3 linked regions of the Arabidopsis thaliana genome follow. The protein of the gene in region 3 interacts with the protein of the main gene of each other region in a biochemical or structural test. Each region holds a gene or a part of one and is shown on either strand. Other genes may lie near its edges.

The links. The genes of interacting proteins can lie anywhere in the genome.
Region 1: the proteins of FLS2 (region 3) and RIN4 form a complex in vitro, tested with the Arabidopsis thaliana proteins (one study listed by BioGRID).
Region 2: of the proteins of FLS2 (region 3) and PUB13, one has a biochemical effect on the other in vitro, tested with the Arabidopsis thaliana proteins (2 studies listed by BioGRID, with this or other methods).

The regions. Positions count from the first base shown.
Region 1 is NC_003074.8:9,130,355-9,135,050, reverse strand, and holds RIN4 (RPM1 interacting protein 4), read right to left. Parts: upstream 2,914-4,696; 5' UTR 2,594-2,913; coding exon of another isoform or gene 2,588-2,593; 5' UTR 2,161-2,587; coding exon 1,699-2,160; intron 1,621-1,698; coding exon 1,438-1,620; intron 1,334-1,437; coding exon 1,304-1,333; 3' UTR 963-1,303; downstream 1-962.
Region 2 is NC_003074.8:17,122,769-17,128,756, forward strand, and holds PUB13 (plant U-box 13), read right to left. Parts: upstream 4,130-5,988; 5' UTR 3,772-4,129; coding exon 3,502-3,771; intron 3,234-3,501; coding exon 3,117-3,233; intron 3,024-3,116; coding exon 2,574-3,023; intron 2,484-2,573; coding exon 1,338-2,483; 3' UTR 963-1,337; downstream 1-962. Other genes in the region: ACT12 (actin-12), read left to right, coding at 5,799-5,858, 5,941-5,988. UniProt on the Arabidopsis thaliana protein: Functions as an E3 ubiquitin ligase.
Region 3 is NC_003076.8:18,788,857-18,797,306, reverse strand, and holds FLS2 (Leucine-rich receptor-like protein kinase family protein), read right to left. Parts: upstream 5,733-8,450; 5' UTR 5,506-5,732; coding exon 2,367-5,505; intron 2,283-2,366; coding exon 1,900-2,282; 3' UTR 1,399-1,899; downstream 1-1,398. Other genes in the region: RWA1 (O-acetyltransferase family protein), read left to right, coding at 1-56, 145-233, 334-396, 488-544, 612-708, 791-946; AT5G46320 (MADS-box family protein), read left to right, coding at 8,419-8,450.

The sequences.
Region 1 (4,696 bases), on a different chromosome or scaffold from region 3:
TCAAACCTCCAAAAATTCAATCTTATTATGTTTTCTACATCTACTATATACTTATCTAATGGGTCTTTCGTATATTGTAACAAAACCAGGTAGTCATTACAATCATATTAGGATCATATCAAATATGAATTAGGATTCAGCCCATTCACCTTCTCTTCAAAATCATCAAGCGAGATTCTGAGTGGTATGCAACGAGATTAATGTTTCAAACTAGAATCATAAGCTTTCTTCGCATGTTCCAAATCACTAAACCGTTTTTCAAGCTAACCAAGTATCAACCAAAGCTTGAAGAATGGTGGTTTAAAAATTCATTTGATTCTGGAATAAAATATAAGAGTTTAGACTTTATTCGGTTATTTTTAGATTTTTTTTTTTAATTCTTAAGACTTAGAAGATATTTTAGATTTTGACAAAAATCTCACAATACCGCCTAAAAAAACGAATGGAATGGTGATAGAGACAACCGAGATTAGTTGTTTTGAATTCGCGATGTTTTATTATTTTATTTTCGTCATTACTCCTACTATTTTAGTATATGTTACTATTTTAGACTTTTAGTTAGATTTAAATATTTAATTACTTTATTATTATTGTTAGACCATGGTATAATTATTTTTATATTTATATTTATACAAACTAATAATTTCTATAATATTAAATAAATTTTAATCAATTGATCCGTGGTCGAATCCGGTTGATCCATTGACCCCGTGACCTAAAAAGTAGTCTAGTTCACCATCCAGGTCGGGTTTAAAAAGATTGCATTTAAGTCTAATTATTGGGCATAGAGAATGCTGAAATAGTAAGTACATAAAGCTGGAGAATCAAACCTGATTACACTGTACAAAGCCATATAGGAAACAAGTGTCAATTCGTTCTTCTTTGATGTCCATATCATATGGACCATACGAGTCATCATCCTCCAAAGATCTTAATCTTGATTTTATATAAAAAGTTATGGGTCTTTCTTTATAGTGGTGCAGAGTTAAGGCTTTGAACATTAGAAACAACAAACTTGGAGGTACCCAAATATCTCTGATTCATATCAAATCAGTTACCAAATCACTCAGGCCGTACCAAGCAAGATATAATGCATCTGCAAGCAGATCCGAAACTGGAATGTGTCTTATGAAAACACCAAAAGTATTAAGGAAGAATTGCAAAATATACATACAAAAATTATACTATAAAAATCTTATGCAAGTGAGACTTATGCCTTATTTCATCTAAAGAAGCACGAATGTCTAATCATCAAGATTACACACTGATTTCTCGATAACTATATACAATCTTCCGGTCCCTTTCATTTTCCTCCAAAGCCAAAGCAGCAACACTGTCAAATTGCACAAGACAAACCAATGTTCAACACACACTCACTATTTGAATACGTATTCACTAATGATTATACTTGAAAATGAGTTTTAAAGAATGTCTTACTGAGGAAGTGTTGTTCGGGTTACGGGAGCTTTGATGAGTCGGCGTTCTTGAAGATCCACTCACATTTGCTCCAGAACTTCTCTCTTCACGGACTTTATTGAAGATATGCGTGTATCCGTCAGCTGATGACGGGTTGTTCTCGTCCCAGTCACCGAATTTAGGCACCACTGTGACTTTTTCAGGCTATATATAAACAGATGACAACACATAAGCAACAAACAGAGATATTCTCACTTTAGAGGTTAAAAGTGAGATTCTTACACTTTCATCAGCTCTAAGGTTGGTAGGTTTAGGCCTAGATTTTCCAGTACCATCATAAGAATTCTTATGCAAAGGTGACTTGTTGTCATAACTATTGTTCTGAGAAGCTCTTCCTTGTCTTTTGTTAGCAGCTTCATTTGATGAACCACCAGCATCACCAAACTGTTTCAACTCGCTCTCTTCTCGGCTTCTCATATGCTCACGTGATCTTCTAACCGTGTCAACTTGCTCAGGTTTGGTTCTGGAAGAAGGAGGATGAGGAGGAGCTTGTGATTGAGAGTCAGAGTTATACTCCGGGTCATTCGGGTTCATGATCTTGCTACCGGGTGCTCGAGTCTTACGAGCTTTGTCAAAGTAAGCTGTGTAAGGAACATTCTCCTCAGCTTCCCAGTTTCCAAATTTTGGTACATTCGAACGCTGTTGCAACAAACAATTCAACAACAATGTCCTTCCACAAAACATTCAATAACATAACATCCTAAAGAACAATCATCACAGAAACAAGATAGCAAATTCACTTAAGAATCCAAAACAGAACAAATACAAATTGGGTTTATCGATTTCGACCAAGTACAATGATAAAGTTGAAATCTTTGCTAAGCAAAAATAGAAACTTTACCATAAAAATAGTAACTTTCATAAAACCCTTTTCTTATCTAAAGCAAATCAGAATCATAAAGTTGAATACTAATAGACATCGCAATCCATAGAAATGTTATCTCAATAGGAAGAACCATAAATGCAAATAGATTAAGACTCAACTTTCTACAAATCCTCCAAAAAAAGGGTCAGAGATTGACGGAATCGAAACAAAAACTATAATCTGAGAGAAAGCTCTAGACCTAAATAAGAAGAAGAGGAGAAGGAAAGAAGGAAAGAAAACACTTACTGCCATGGGAGAGAGGTAGCTAAAGAATTGAAGTCTGAAGCTTTTGTTAGGTTTGAGAGAGAAAGACAGAGAGAGATGTGAGAAGGAGAGGAGACGAAGAAGAAGTTTTATAAAAGCGTTGACTAGTGGTGATGCTATGTATTCTTTGACCCTTCCTCTCCTCTCTCTAATCTTCTCTTCTCTCTTTGTCTCACTCCAAACTCTATTAATTTCATTTCTTAACTCTATTACTAAATTTTCATGTATTGTCAAGAGCACTCAAACGCCGTTACCGTTACCGTCACCGTTAAAGGCGGCTTTATTTTGGTGTCCATGTTACATTGTTTTCCTCTTAAAAGATTGTAATAAATATTTTTGTCCTAAAGAATTGGATATGTGGGTCGGAAGCAACTTTTGGTGGAATCTTCTGCTCTAGTAGATAAGTTTTGTGGATCTAATAATTATATGCTAATAGAATAATTTGATTATTGATAGCAACAATGTTACAATGTTATAGCAGAATTTAGTGAATTATTGATCTTGGATTTTAGCGGATTAATGAGTAGTAATAACTGAAATTTCTTTTGGTGACGATTGGTACCAATTCGTCTATAGATAGGTTACCATTTGAATCAACTACTTGCAATTTTTGTGATACAAATAGTACAATAACTATTTTTACAAATATCGCCATTTAACGCTAGTACGTATACTTTTATTATTTACACTCATAGTTTTTTTTAGAGAAAACTTAAAAGTGTTTTGTGAAGAGTACTACAAAGTGATAGTAAGTAAATAAAAAGTGTTCTACGAGTACAAGGAAAAAAAAAAGGCAGTATGAACAAAATAGTTAGAAAACTAGAAATGAGAAAGTTATCATCAAAGGTGGTTGACCACAACTACCTAATCTCTTTTTGATCTTAGTTGATGTTTAAGGTTTTAGCACACTAATCAAGAAACTAATTAAATGATCAATTGTTTCTTGGTTTTCACATTAAAACATCATTTATAAAACTCAACAAAATTATTCAACCAATAACAAAAGAAAGAATTGAAAATGTTTATGAGAAATTGAGAATATTAACTTCTGAAAAGAAAAAGAAAATAATCATATGGAGACTTTTTGTGTTAGCAAAGTCAAAGCTGCCTCTTTACACTGAAAGACCCTTTTGAGAATTTACGTACCTCTTTCTTCCAAGAACAAATAACATGTCTCGTAGCATCTATTATCGAATCACCAATGACAATAAGATGTTCACTAAAAACCATAATTGGAACATTATTTTAGTAATTTTTTACTAGACAAAGTTGAAAAATGGAAAGTATTCAGCGTTGTTCACATCAATTTATTTGTGGTTGCCGTAGCGATAATTATTCAATGCTCCCGTACTCATACACACGTGAACTATATAGTCCACACGTACAAGTGTTTTCACATGGTTAATGCCTTAATGGGAATATTTTAGAGATTGTTCACGAAAAAATAAGAAAGATCAAATCAAAGAAGACAGATCGTTCAGCTTCATCAGTTTCTCAACGTGAGTGTGTCTTTTTATTTTTTGTAGTCAAGTGATATGGTTAGTTAAGACTAAAGACAACTAAGAGATCGTGTGCATTCTTAATTCTTTTGGTGTTATTTAGTTTTGGAGCGTTACTCTATTTTTGGGACATACAACAATCCACCCCAAATCAAGTTTATTTTATATAAATTGGTCCACGACGGATTTCTTCTATTTGTCTCAATCCATACTCTTACGGACTATAATATATAAAATGGTTCAATCCGCAAACGAATTTGTCCGCCACAACCATACAAACCAGTGTCACAAAGCCACAAAGGTAAGGGTTTCTCAATACATTATTTAAGGGGTTTATCACTCTCTTAGTCTCTTTAATAAGTCTCAATTCTTAAGTCTCTTTCACATTTGTCAATTAACTTGAATTTGCACTTTGGTACTCTGCTTTTCTCAAAGGGACCAAGAACCTCTTGGTATTTTCTTCTCACTAAAATTGAAATTGACCCGGTTTGGTTTTCTTGTTCAACGCGTGGAATGTATTGTTAGAGTTTTTGACTAAAACCTCACTCCAAAATAGGGCCACATGAGTCAGAAATGGATGTATATATACATA
Region 2 (5,988 bases), on a different chromosome or scaffold from region 3:
AATCTATTAAATCAACCCGCGTTTAAAGTGACTCCACTACACTCATCACAAGTGTAGAACCATTCTAGTGGCTACGGAAACGCTCATAACGCCCATAAGATAATTACGCATACGATCATCCTCCGCAACCATGCTTTCTCGATGAGGGGAACTTCCTCCTGTCTTGATGTCTTCCATTGGGCTCCACATATGTAACAAAATTTGTAGCCACATCTATATGATATCCATCAACCATGAACATTACGATACTGTTAATTACGTGAAAACATAAACAGATTCTAAAAGGATTAATTATAACAGATAGAGAATGTGAATATGTGATGATGATGATACATGCATGTTACTCTGATGCATCCATTAGAAAATTCAATCATTTGGTTGCAATTTCCACATTGACGCCACATATTCTGATTTGCTAAAGATTCGAACTTTATATCATCTTCTGTAGGATTTGGACCCAATCTCTTGTAATCTTCGCACGACAAGTTACTATGCCACGCATCTTTGCAGATGTTACAAAAGGGGTCACCGCATTGTAAACAGTATCTCATAGTTCCATCTCTGGTTTTCGACATTAAAGCCGAACACCTTGGATTTGGGCAATAAACTCATATCCTTACTTTGCTAAAATCTTAAACCCTAATTAAACAACCCCTTTTTGAATCTATTTGCACAATACATCTAGTAAAGTAGTTCGACATATATAATAATCTAACACTGGAAATGTATTTGATGTGTTCTATCTCTCTCTCTCTCTCTCTCTATGATCCGAAGGAATGGTCTCTACTTGTGATGAGTGTAGTGGAGTCACATTACATGTTATATTTGTGCTTGGAGACATATTTGTTCTATGGATTCTCTAAGAAATTTTAAAACGGGTTGAGATTTTACTATTTGATAGTTTTGTATACTTGTATTGAAACATTATGCATGGAATCTATCGACTCTACAAGCAGTTTACGCATCTGTTCATGAAAAATGGGAATCTGCATTATATTCAATTAGTATCTCAATGCTATTAAGAAAGCGAACAGAGAGATCTTGTATTGAAAACAAAAAAAAGCTCGTGGAAATGATTACAAACATAGTGTTACAATGATACAAGTTGACGTGTATGTATGCATATTTGCTTTTCTCTCCTGTGGACCAGATTGCTCTGTCCACACAAAGATATCACCATAAAGTTAAAAGTAGATCGGAGAAGGAGGCCATTTCCCTCTTCCGCGTCTACCGTGAATCCTACCTCGAGGGAGGATGAGTAGCACAAACAAAAAGTGAGAATAATAAACATACGTACGTGAAAGAGATGACCCGAGGATCCAAAACAAAGACAATCTTTAAGTATCTGCAGCTTCTGTGGTGGATTCTGGATGTGTTGGTTCAGCTTCTTCTTCCGGTTGTGACACAGCCGTTTCCTTCTGCTGTTCAGCGAGACGGCTGATGCGTTCAAGCAACTGCGCTGCTTTTCGTTTCCCTCTATCCGTCCCATTTCCAGCTAAATCTATCAATGGACCCATAAGGCCGAGTTTCTGCGCTTCGACAAGATGTTGTGGGTCTCCAGAACAGAGGTGGACTAGAACAGCAGCTGCGTTTTCTCTGTTTCTAGGCGAGCCAGTTCTGATAAACTCAACCAAACTTGGGACTGCATCAGAGGATCCTATGATTGCTTTTCCTTCGGGGTGGCTAGAGAGAATCGCCAAAATCGCGAGTGCCTCATCGACCATTCCGCTTCCGGGCTCTGTCAAGAGTCTAGTCAACGTGGGAATCACTCCTGCACGTATAGCTTTTCCTTTGTTTCCTTGGTATATACAGAGGTTAAAGAGTGCAGTAGCAGCATCTTTCTTGCCTCTTTGTGTACCTTCATTAAGTAATACAACGAGTGGCGGAATTGCTCCTAAGGCACCGATAGTCACTTTATTTTCATCGATCACTGATAGACTGAAAAGTGTAGCCGCCGCATTCTCTCTGGCCTCCATGCTTCCTTTCTTAAGCACTTGAACTATACCAGGAATAGCTCCAGCTGAAACAATGGCTCCTTTGTTGTTCTCACATATGGAGAGGTTTAGAAGAGCTGTTACCGAATGTTCTTGAATACGAGAATCAGGAGTTGAGAGGAGACCTACGAGAAGAGGTATGGCTCCAGCTTCGGCTATGGCCACGCGGTTGTCTGCATTTCGTTTTGCAAGAAGGCGGATTTCCCCAGCTGCAGATCGTTGGTCCTCGGGGTTTCCGTACGCAAGTCTCCACATAAGATCTTCAATCTTGTTCGCTTCTGCGGGAGATGAGAAGGACGATACTTTTCTGGGTCTTAAACTGCTCGGAGGCTTTGGAGGCTCAATATCGTTGGCCTCGCACCACTGAGCTATGAGACTACGGAGAACATAGTTTGGTGTGAGGGTTGTGCTTGTTAGCGCCTGCTGTGTTTTTGGACATGTCGAGTGTCCACCTTCTATCCATTTCTCAATACATGTGCGTTCGTATGTCTATACATAGAGGAGAACATGCTTCTATAATTAAATCTTAAGAGATCGCAGAAATAAATTTGAAGAAGCTGAGGTTGAAGTGAACTATACCTGCCCTGATGAAACAATAACTGGATCTCTCATCATTTCCAGCGAAATCGGACAGCGAAAATCATCAGGAATCACAGGTATCTTCTGACTCGCTGCCGTAGAAGTCTGTCCATTGCTTCTAGAGTTAACTCCTACTTTCTGCTCCTCGCCATTATCATCCTCCGTCTGCACAAAATCCTTAATCATCTTTAATACCATTGCCATCTCCTCAATATTTTCACCAACATCTCCACCGCTTGAAGCAACCATTTCATGCAGAGCCACTGATTCTTGAGCTAGGTCAGGAATCTCCATCAAATGTAACTTCTTCGCAACCCGCTCTAGCACAGGCTGATAAGCATCTACATCACTACTTTTGTTGCAAAGCGACTGAAGATCTTCATATAGCTCATCATCTGATACATCTACTCTTCCTTTAGCTCGCCGAAACTGACTAAGAACCAGCTCAACCTACAACAACCAAAAAAACGCTATGAATCAACTACATGTCGTCTTTACTGATCCAGACACTGGCCTAGCCAGCCTTGGGTTTCAAGAATTTACCTGTTCTCTAACTTCATCCGATATATCGAGTTCTTCATATGGAATCTGGCTTAAAGATTGTTCTAACTTAACAGACACCTCCATCAATTTACTTGTCACTTGTTCCCTCTCCATCACCTACACACAGAACAACAACATCTCTTGTGTATCAGAGCACAAATTCTCAACAACTTCCATAGATCAATCAAGTCACATCAACCACTACCAAATCTAACATCTAATCAAATACCAAAGAAGCATTGATATCACTCAAACACTACCATAGCAAAACAAAGCACGTGGCTCTCTCATTCAATGAAAACACCAATTCGTCAACGAGAACAAAAATTCTCAGTGACCACACAGATCTAATCATAGATGCTAATAAATCGAAGAAGAAACGCACCAGATAAATCTTGCTCCCTTGGCTACAAAATTTGAGATAATCCTTCGCTGAACACATAGCTTCCTTCAAATTCATCAAAGTCTTCAACGTATCTTCGCTGATCGGTTCGTTACTTTCTCTAATTTCCTCAAACATAGGAACAAGCAGCTTTAATCTCCTCGCTAGATTATAACAAAGCTTCTTCACTGTTATACGATAATCAGAAATCGCAGCAATCTCGTTAACTACATCGATTAAGCTCTGTGCAGCAGAAGCTTTCTCTTCCTCCATTGAATTGATTCTTCTCTGTTTAAAAATTCACGATTTACGGATCCGTTTTTCCTCCGGAGAAGATGGAGATCTTTCCCGATTGAGACTCCAGTGGCGAGATTGAGCTTAAAGGAAGAAGAGAACCATTTGCAGAAAGTGCGAAAGAGAGAGATTTCTGAGAAAGAGAGATTGTGTGAGAGAGAAGACGAGGACTTTTCGAAAACGGCGTCGTTTAGCTGACGGCTTTAGCTTATTGCAACTTGTACGATTCTCTCGGCTTAAGAACTAAACCGGAACAAAGGTAAATTCGACCACGAAGCCGCGGGACCGGTTACGATTGTGTTTGTTTTATTTTTTACATTAATATATTATATTATCATTTAAATTATTTCTCTATAAAATTACTAATTTTCTTGTGAAATTTTGAATATTTTTCAACTATTATATTTTCACGGATTGAATATACGAATTTTTACGGATATAGTGGTCACTTTTTTGCTGTAGTTGGTGACATTTTTGGGGTGTCATAGAAGAACAAAATTGTTAATGCATTTATAATTTTGGATTTAGTGATAATTGAAGAATTAAAAAGGTTTTATACCTCTATCTCTCTAATCATGCAAGAAAATATTTTAAAAAGAAAAATTAAAAATAGTTCAACTGGACAACGAAATTATCCTAAAATAGTTATTTCTTTTGATCTAATCCTTCTTCTTTTAAACTTTTTTTTACTTGTTTCTACTCTACATGTTTCTTGTTATTAGGTAAAGTATTAGGCTCTTTTTTTAAAAAAAATGCTTAATCCTCTGGGTACCTCGAAAAGGGAATAATACTCTAGTTAGATAAGTGCAGCGATCAACATGACAAAATGAATGAATGTTTGCTTTAATTGGTGGCTAAAAGCTAAATACACAGAAAAGTCAAAATTCAATCTCAAAATCAACCCCTCTGTCTCCAATGTCCCTAATCTATACCAAAATGTCAATTTATTTTCTTGATCATATATTCCACTAATTAAAAATAAATCCTTCTCTAATGAAATTTGTCAAGGCCTTGGAAGCCTAGTTTTAAATATTAAATGGAAACTATTTCTTCAACAATCACACTGTTATTTAGTATTGTTGTATGTTGTTCACTACTTTCTTCATTTGTTTTGTAAGAAACTATAATAAGCAAAAACACATAATAAAGTCTCATGTCAAATAATGAATCTTATGCACATGCTTGATTATTTTACTTGCACATATCCCTATCATCATTATCACATTTGTCAATTACCGTTATCATCATTACTCTCATTCTTCCCAGAACTTTTTCAGCAATTTCCATACCTCACCCACTAAGATCTTTTACCCTTTTTCTTAATTATAGTTTGGATAGCACTCTTTTACATAGCACTGAAATTTCGGTTGAACACATAAATTACTAGAAACTAGAAGGAAATGTTACTGAAATTTCACTGATTGTCTAAAATTGAATAATCTAAAGAAAATGGCCTTTTAACCTTTTTCTTAGGCCCAAATGGGCTCATTACCACTCATGCTTGTTCGGTGACCCGATTCTTCCGGTAAAACAGAGCCTAAACCGTATTTTCAGGTTAGGCTGGTGTTTTCTTAATTCTCCAACCTAAAAATAGATGGACACGTGTCTATAGAGGCTGAGATATTGGTCTCAATGAAGAAAACTAACGGCTCAGACCCGTGTATGAACGATATTAAGGGCCAAAGTTGCTTCTGTTTTCCAGAAATTTTTGAAACCCAATTTCAGGGCACGATTCCACAACCTCTTTCTTTTCTTCTAGATCTACGTAAATTCATCAGGTACATGTTATTTTTTTTGTTTATTTGATGTCAAAATTTTGATCACAAGGAGGCAAAACCAATATAAATGTAACGCTAATGCGTTTGATTATGGTATACGTAACGAATTAGATTTAATGGTTACATTTTATTGTTTTAGATTTAGTTATGAGATTGGCATTAATTATTGGTGTTTCCTTTGAATTTGCTATGTTTCTTATGTTGATGTAATCAGCTAGAGATTGAAAAATGGCGGACGGTGAAGATATTCAGCCGCTCGTTTGCGATAACGGGACTGGAATGGTCAAGGTAATCAAAAAGCTTTAGAGAAACAAGATTTGTGAATGTTATTATGTGCCATAAGTTAAGCAATTCAACTATGTGCGTGTAGGCTGGTTTTGCAGGTGATGATGCTCCTAGAGCTGTATTCCCAAGTATC
Region 3 (8,450 bases):
GTGAAACGAAGAAAAGACTATCCATAAAGGCCGCTATTGTTACTATTACTGTGCTTGTAAGTCATTTAGTCATCTTTTAGCTTGGTAATTGCACCATTCCCATTGTACAGATTGATATAATTTTCCCGTTTGGTCACATTTTAGGTTGGCTATGTGTGGTATGAATGTATCTACAAGCTGGACAGGACCAGTTACAACATGTATCATCCGTACACATCATGGATCCCCATCACGTCTGTGCATAAAACTCTTTTTTTATTGGTCTTTATATTTGTCTCTTATGTCACTTGCTGAAACTGAAACATGACTCACCATTTGATTTCTGGGTTCCAGTGTTTACATATGCCTTCGGAATTTCACCCACCAGCTTCGAAGTGTCTCATTGACTCTCTTTGCGTGAGTCAACTCGTACTTACATTTAAACTAAAACCTGGTTTGATATGCTTGCCTCATTTCCATGTAAAACTCTTTACATTTCTCTGCGCAGGTGGCTTGGCAAGATCACTTTAGAGACTTACATTTCCCAGTTTCATATATGGCTAAGGTTTGTTTTCTGTGACTTAATCTTTTCCTGGAAGCGTATTTGTTAAATCAAAGACACCAATTTTCAGATCAAACATGCCTGACGGGCAACCAAAATGGCTTCTCTCTATTATTCCGGGATACCCTATGCTCAATTTCATGCTGACAACTGCTATATACGTCCTTGTAAGAAACCGTAACTTCTTCTCTCCCCGTATTTTCTATTAGCAAGCTTTCTGAAACATCTCTATTTGTTCTTGTTCGCCAGGTATCTCACCGTCTCTTTGAACTAACCAACACACTCAAGACGGTTTTCGTACCCACAAAAGACAACAAGCGACTCTTCTCTAACTTCATAGCTGGGATTGCCATCGCTCTTCCACTCTATTGCTTCTCATTCGTTCTTCTTCAGATTCATCGTTAGAAACCGTGAGTCCCCAAATCATTCTCATTGGCCATCCACTCATAAAAAATCTAACGAAAACTTTGTTGATTTCTGTCATTTACAGGCAAAAACAAGTGTTTGTTCTTTGTGTTTCTTCATTGTGGTCGCATCAAAGCAAAGGAAAATAAGTAAAAAGACAAGTTAGTTTTGTTGATCATTTTCTTGTGCACATTCAGCTTCAAAGGACGTTCACCAAAGGCAGAACCAAGAACCGCATAGACCAACATCGCTCAACTACTTTTCTCTATTGCCATACAAAAGCGAAGTAATTGTCTCCGATTTAAAGTTTTCAATTTTTTGTGCTATATTCTTTAGATTTTGTTTTGTAAGGATTAAGCAAACAATATGTAGTTCGTCCAAAAATGTATAGTGATGTTAAAGAATTATATGAAATTGCAAAGTTTTAAAGAAGAATTCATTCTCAACAGTCACTGACATGGTTTTCTATCAGTCTAGTCTTGCAATTTCTGCGGTTCGCTAGCCGAGAATGGAAAACATTACCCGGGGAGATGAAAATGTAATGACTCTAGTTTTCACAGCTATTACTTGGCAAGTCTACACAATTGTCTTGTGTGGCATTGATCTTTGAGTCATCTTCTGTGTTCTCGATAACCGTCGTGAGATTGCCTATTGTCCGATACTAGCAGTGGTATTGTTTCATGATTAAATGGAAGGGACAAACGTCATCTCCATCATGATGACAAAAACTTGACGAACCTTATTCCTGATCTGCCTGCAATAAGAAACTATAGTATCCATGTGTAGCCTAATGCATTTGTATATGAAAAAGTTCATCAAAACCAAATTTCAACCTTATATAAAACAGAAATACATAACGAAAAGCAAAATCAGAACGTTTTACGTCCAAAGTATTCAACCTTCGTAACAGAGTTTGGCAAAGTCGAAAAAATGTCATCAAAAAAGCTTTGCTGCTAAACTTCTCGATCCTCGTTACGATCTTCTCGAAATGAATTCGCTTTGCCTCTAAGTTTCATCAGATGTGTAAGAATCTCGTTCATATCAGGTCGATCTTCAGGTCTAGAGCTTGTACAGAACAAACAAAGCTTCAGAAAGTCTTCAATAGCCTCTTCCTGTTTCAGAGAAACAATAGAGTCCCCGAGTTCCATATCAAGAACCCTAACCATCCCTTTTCTTCCATTTCCAATCGATTTCTCCACCAATTGGCGCAAAGTCATGTCTTGTGAATCTTCATCATTCAACGAAGTTGGTCTCTGTTTCGTCATCAGCTCCATCATTATGATCCCGAAGCTGAATACATCGGCTTTTGTTGTCACTTTCCTCATATAAGCAAACTCTGTTCATGAAAAATAAGAGTGTATTTCAAGTAAGTCGATGGCATAATTAGGGTTTTGAAAATTAAGTGTTGTGAGTAATTTACCTGGAGCTAAGTATCCAATTGTACCCTCGAAGGCTGATGTTGAAGCTGTGGTGCTTCCATCTTCGCGGAAACCTAGAATCCGAGCAGTTCCAAAATCGCTTACGTGAGCAACGCGGTCACTGTCAAGGAGTATATTAGCTGGCTTCAGATCACAATGAACGATGGGAAAACCATATCCAGAATGAAGATAATCGATTCCGCTTGCGATATGAACACAAAGATCGATTTTTTCTAAAAGCGACCCAATCGGTGCTGCAGAGCCGTGAATGGTGTCCTCCAAGTTTCCATTCTCCATAAATGGAAGCACTAAAGCTTTCGTTTTGCCGCTTTCCCACGCAAACCCTAAGATCTTCACCAGGTTTCGATGTTTTAGTTGGCTCAATGTTTTAGCTTCTGTGTAGAACCACTTGTCTGATTCTGCAGAGAATTCCTTTAGATTCAATACTTTTACTGCAATCACTGTCCCATCTTCTAGCTGACCTTTGTACACTGTGCTTAAGCTGCTTGAGCCAATGATGTTGGCACTGTTGAATGAATCTGTTGCTTGCTCCAACTCTTTTGGTTCAAATCTCTTCAGTTTCAGAGCTGAATCCAAATCCGGTAATGAGGACTCTGATGAATTTTCAATCTTTTTTTCTTTTTTCTTGCAACAGGTTAGAATCAGAACAAGAAGCAGGACAAGAAGAAGAGCCGCGGCTGATCCAAGAATAATCAGGATGACTCTGGTTCTCTTCGAGAAGTGGCTCGACTTCTGCTTGATCGTACATGGCTTGAGAGGCTTCTTGCTACCACAGAGATCTGTGTTTCCCATTAGATCAGAGGCGTTGATGTTTTTGAACACCCCGGATTCAGGAACATGGCCTTTGAGGTTGTTTGAAGCTAGTTTGAGATGTTTCAGAGTCGAAAGATTGGCGAGACTCTCTGGAATTTCACCAGTGAGATTGTTACTAGAGAGATCCAAGGAGACCAAATGCGTCATGTTCCCGAAGCTCTGAGGGATTTCTCCAGAGAAACTGTTCCTTGAAAGGTTCAAGCTTATGATCATATCCATGCCTTGGAAGACTTCATCTGGTATATGACCCGAGAGATTGTTCTGCGAAAAATCCAGTGTGAACACATTTTTGCAGGCCTGTAAAGATCTTGGAATAGACCCAGAAAAGAGATTGTTTGAAAGGTCGATTTCTTGAACCATTTCAAGCTTTCCAAGCTCCTTTGGGATGGTTCCAGTCAACAAGTTGTTTGAGAAGTTGAGGTAAAGCTGCATGTTTTTCAAAGAAGCTAACAGCTCTCCAGGGATGGTTCCAGTGAGAAGATTGTCGGAGATATCGAATGTGTTGAGAAGCGAAAGCGACTTAAGGCTTGCAGGGATAGACCCGTTGAATTTGTTTCCTTGAAGACTCAAGTAGGTAAGCGATTCAAGCTTGGAGAACAAGGCAGGAATTTGACCTGAGAATTTGTTGTTGGAAAGATCAAGAACTGAGAGTAGCTTCATATCAAACATTTCTTCAGGAATTGGACCTTCAAGATCATTTGAATACATCCTTAGCCCCTGGAGGAGAGTGAGATTCGACATCTCTCTCGGGATTCTCCCTGTGAAACCATTAGAGTGAAGGTACAAGATATTCAAATCTTTCAGATTCCCGATTTCTCGAGGAATCGGTCCAGTGAGAGAGTTATATGAAACTTGCAAAATCCTGAGTTTTTGAAGCTTCCCAATTAATGGCTTGAGAGTTCCTGTTAAGTTGTTATCTGCCACACTAAGAGTTTCCAAGTTTGAACAGTTGAAGATATCATCTGGAATTTCACCGGTGAAATGATTCCTCCCAATAGAAATGAACGTAAGATTCATCCTTCCGAAACCCCGCGGGATCTCGCCAGTCATTTGGTTGTGAGACAGGTCCAGGAGTTTAAGACCGGTGCAGTTACTTATGCTGGAAGGTATTGGTCCGGTAAGAAGATTGTCGTGCGCTGAAAGGTTCCGAAGGTTTGTAAGAAGCCCTAGATCCGCCGGGAGCTCACCGGAAATATTATTGAACCCCACCGTTAGGACTGTCAAGTTCCTCAAGTTTGTGATGGACTGTGGAAACTCTCCTGTGAAGTTGTTGGAATGAAGTGTGAGGACTTCAAGTGACTCAAGAAAACCGATTTCTTCTGATATCGGTCCAACCAAATGGTTTTCTGATAACCCCAAATGGGTTAACTGAGTTAACCGGAACAATGAAGATGGAATTGAAGAAGTAAGTTTGTTCTTGTATATCCGGAGTGCTTGCAGCTGAACCAAATTCCCTAATTCAGCTGGTATTTTCCCGGTTAACTGGTTATCGTAAAGCTCAAGTTGGACCAAGCTCGAGCAGTTTCCGATCTCAGCTGGTATATCTCCTTCCAACAAGTTTTCAGTTAAAACGAGAGACTGTAAGTTCAAGAGATTTCCAAAATCTCTCGGTATTTTTCCGGTTAACTGGTTACCACTCAGGTCTAAATCCGTTAAATTAGCCAGAGTACCAATTGATACCGGAATCGAACCAGTTAAATGGTTACCAGCTGCTACAAACATTTGGAGATGAACCAAATCTCCTAAGCATTCTGGTATTTTCCCGGTTAAGTTGTTGTAATCAAACCCAATCAATACCAAAGAACTGGTTTTGCAGATTTCCTCAGGAACATCACCGGACAACAAATTATTTCTAAGATCAAGATAGAAAATATTCTTAAGCTCCCAGATTCCAGAAGGAATCGAACCAGAGAAATAGTTTAGGTACAGAATAAGCTGGTTAAGCTCGGTTAACTTTCCTATTTCAGCCGGTATTTTGCCGGTAAAACTATTTGAAGTGAGATCAAGAACCTGGAGATAGGTGAGATTCGCTATGGCTGGAGACAGAACACCTTCAAGTTGCTTCTCCAGCAAGGAAACCGAGACTACATGTCCGGTACTATCGCAGGTGATTCCGGTCCAATTACAGTGTCGTAACGAACCGATGATGGTCCAATCTGATAATACTCCTAAAGGGTCGTTGGAAATACCATTCTTGAAGGATTTCAAAGCTTCGATCTCTGGTTCAAAGCTCTGTTTCGCTAGTGCAATGCCAAAGAAGAAGAAGGTGAGAGTTAATATCAAAAAGGTCTTTGAGAGTAACTTCATGGTTTAGACTTTAGAAGAGTTGAAATTGTGGAGAAGATATTATGAGAGAATTAATTATCTGGATATAAATCTATAGACGAAGTCATATGTTTATATATAAGCATATGCCGCAAGAAGATATAGATTTGAGGGATCATGTCACGGATGTGAAAAGGCCAAGACGCAATATAAGTTTCACTATTCACATAATTGGTAATTCTGTCAAGTTGCATATAAAGGCACTAAATGTATTCCCACTTCATAGTCATGCACATGCTTATATGCTTGTATTATATATCATATTCATTTAATCTCACAATGTATGTACTATGTAAGCCATATTCATGGGACCAGAATATGTAGTGACTACTTACTTACTAGTTTGTGTTAGTATCATTTTCCATATCTTATTTATGTAGTTTTTTTCCGATTTAGTTTTGAGCGATTGATTGATAACATATACAAAGTAGTTTTGACAAGGCGAAATCACTTTAATCTGCCTCCAAACGTTCTAGTCAAACTCAGATATACCACTAGAATGAAAACAATATGTTCTAGTCGTTAATTTATATGATTTCTTATAGTATATAATACATATGAAACTCACATTCTAGCTGTTTTTATGCTAAAAACAAACAAAAATGGAGTTTGAGAAATGAAAAATAAAAACCTTTTTGTTATTGGTCAAAAGAGTAGCAATCGTTGAAACTGAAATGATTGGTACTCAACATAGTATTTGACTATTGATTAAATAACATAACAATTATCATATTTTTTTCTTTCTAAATATTTGGTTTTAGGTCTAATCAGTTTAATTCATTAACACGTCTTCAAAGCTCTGACTATCAAAAGCTCATTAGCTGTCTTGATGGAATTTGTTTTATCAACAAGTTGTGTTCTGTACAAACAATCTGCCAAACATTTTATTTATCTTTCAACAAAAAGCAAAACAAAATTCAATTTTTGTTCAGATAGAAATATTACTCCTATGATCACAATTCACAACTTCTTAATATATGATTTATGGCTTTTCACATTGGACAAATGAATGGAAAAAAATAGGCGATTTAAAATAAAAAGATTATATTTTTAAAAAAGATTATGGATTTTGTATTGACTAATGACTATTGAGGAATCTGGTCATATATGATATCAGTTGATTTGGACAACCTCATCTTGACCCATTAGTATTTCAAAATTTCCATTAATTAAAAACAAAAAAAAAAATCAATTTTGTCTTCAAGATGCATGCACTGTTCTTACTTGGAGTTGACCCATATAATTCCATATCATGTTTACTTGAAGACTTGAAAGTTGACCCGTTAGACAAATAATGAATATCATTAGGTTGGGTCAAAATATTTAGAATGTCCGAAAAGGGTTTATATTGATTTTAAAATAAAGATGAACAAAGGAGTCAAAGAAAAAAACAAATTGACAGCTGTGGGATTTGAACCCACGCCCTTTCGGACCAGAGCCTAAATCTGGCGCCTTAGACCACTCGGCCAAACTGTCACATTATTACATTAAGCATGTGATTGTATTTATACTAATGTTTTAATTATTGAAAAGAAATAATCCTCGTCTTGTTGTTTTTCTTTTTAATATTTCTTAGAGCAAAGTCTTTTGCGTTTTGACTATATCTTATGGACAATCATATAAAAGTTATTTTATTTCTTTGAATTATTCGTATCAGTTTTTTTAATAAAATGTGAATTTCTATTACCATAGGAACATTGTTCATATATAATAACTTTTATATGATTACCTATGGTAATAGACAAGTCTGCAAAGATATAAGGAGATTGCCCAAACCGAAGCATTATCATGTGCCAAATTTCCTTTGTAAAGAGACAATGTAGAAGTAAGTGATTCCTTGTTTCTTCACACAGAACTGTTACATTGCTCAATGATAGATTTAACATTTAAGATGTTAATAGCAAAAAGAAATTTTTTAAATGGGATGATTGATTAAGGTGCTCGCGAGAACAAAGTAGATTATATACAAGAAGTTTGATCACTACAAGTTATTATGATTTGTGACGGATTTTCACTACATAATATTACTTAACGATATATATCATATCTTTACATAATATAACAATGTTATTAAATACGGCTTAGGAGGTGGTTAGGCTCTATGTAGGTTACATACTCCGATTTTAAATTGTAGTGTAGTTTACGCGGTTTTAAAATTTGGATGTCTAATAACACTTACAAAATTTCATATTTTCTCTATATTCGAATTTATAGTTCAAGATTCAGTAATTTATTTTGGTTAGTTAAACAAACGTTAATGACAATTACATAGTAGGTTTTATGATGTCCTTTAGCCAAAATAAAGTTTGATGTTTTTCAGGCTTTACTAAGGAATTACGTATAATTTGTATCTTATTTTGAAAAAACAAAAAATTAGTTTTTATTTTCAAAAAAAGTTATATAGTAATTTTTGCCTCGTGGCTGGTACGCATATTTGGCGCGTGTAAATTATCATTTTAAAATAATATTTTTGTATATAGAATGAAATCCAGAGGTAATAGATATATGCCATAGTAACACCCCATTCATATTTTTTTCTTAATTTTATTTAATTCAAGATAAGTACTACTAAATGTAACATAGTTTTGACATCATGTATTACGTCGCAAACGAGGAATTATCTAAAATATTGTCCGAATTTAGTTCTAATATCATCTTTTGACAGAAAGTTTTGATAAAACATGTTGAATATGACTTTTCTAATAAAGAAATTAATGGTAATAGTTGAAAATAAATACATGTAAAAAGAAATTCAAATATTTTAGTGGAAAGAAATTACCAACATAGATAGACATTTCATTATGTATTGAACAAATTTAACCCGATCCATCTATAAAACGGAGTAAAAGTACTAACCATAACAACAAAAACAACAAAAATCTCTCTAACAAAAAAATGGTTAGGCATTTCAGGAAGACTGATACACT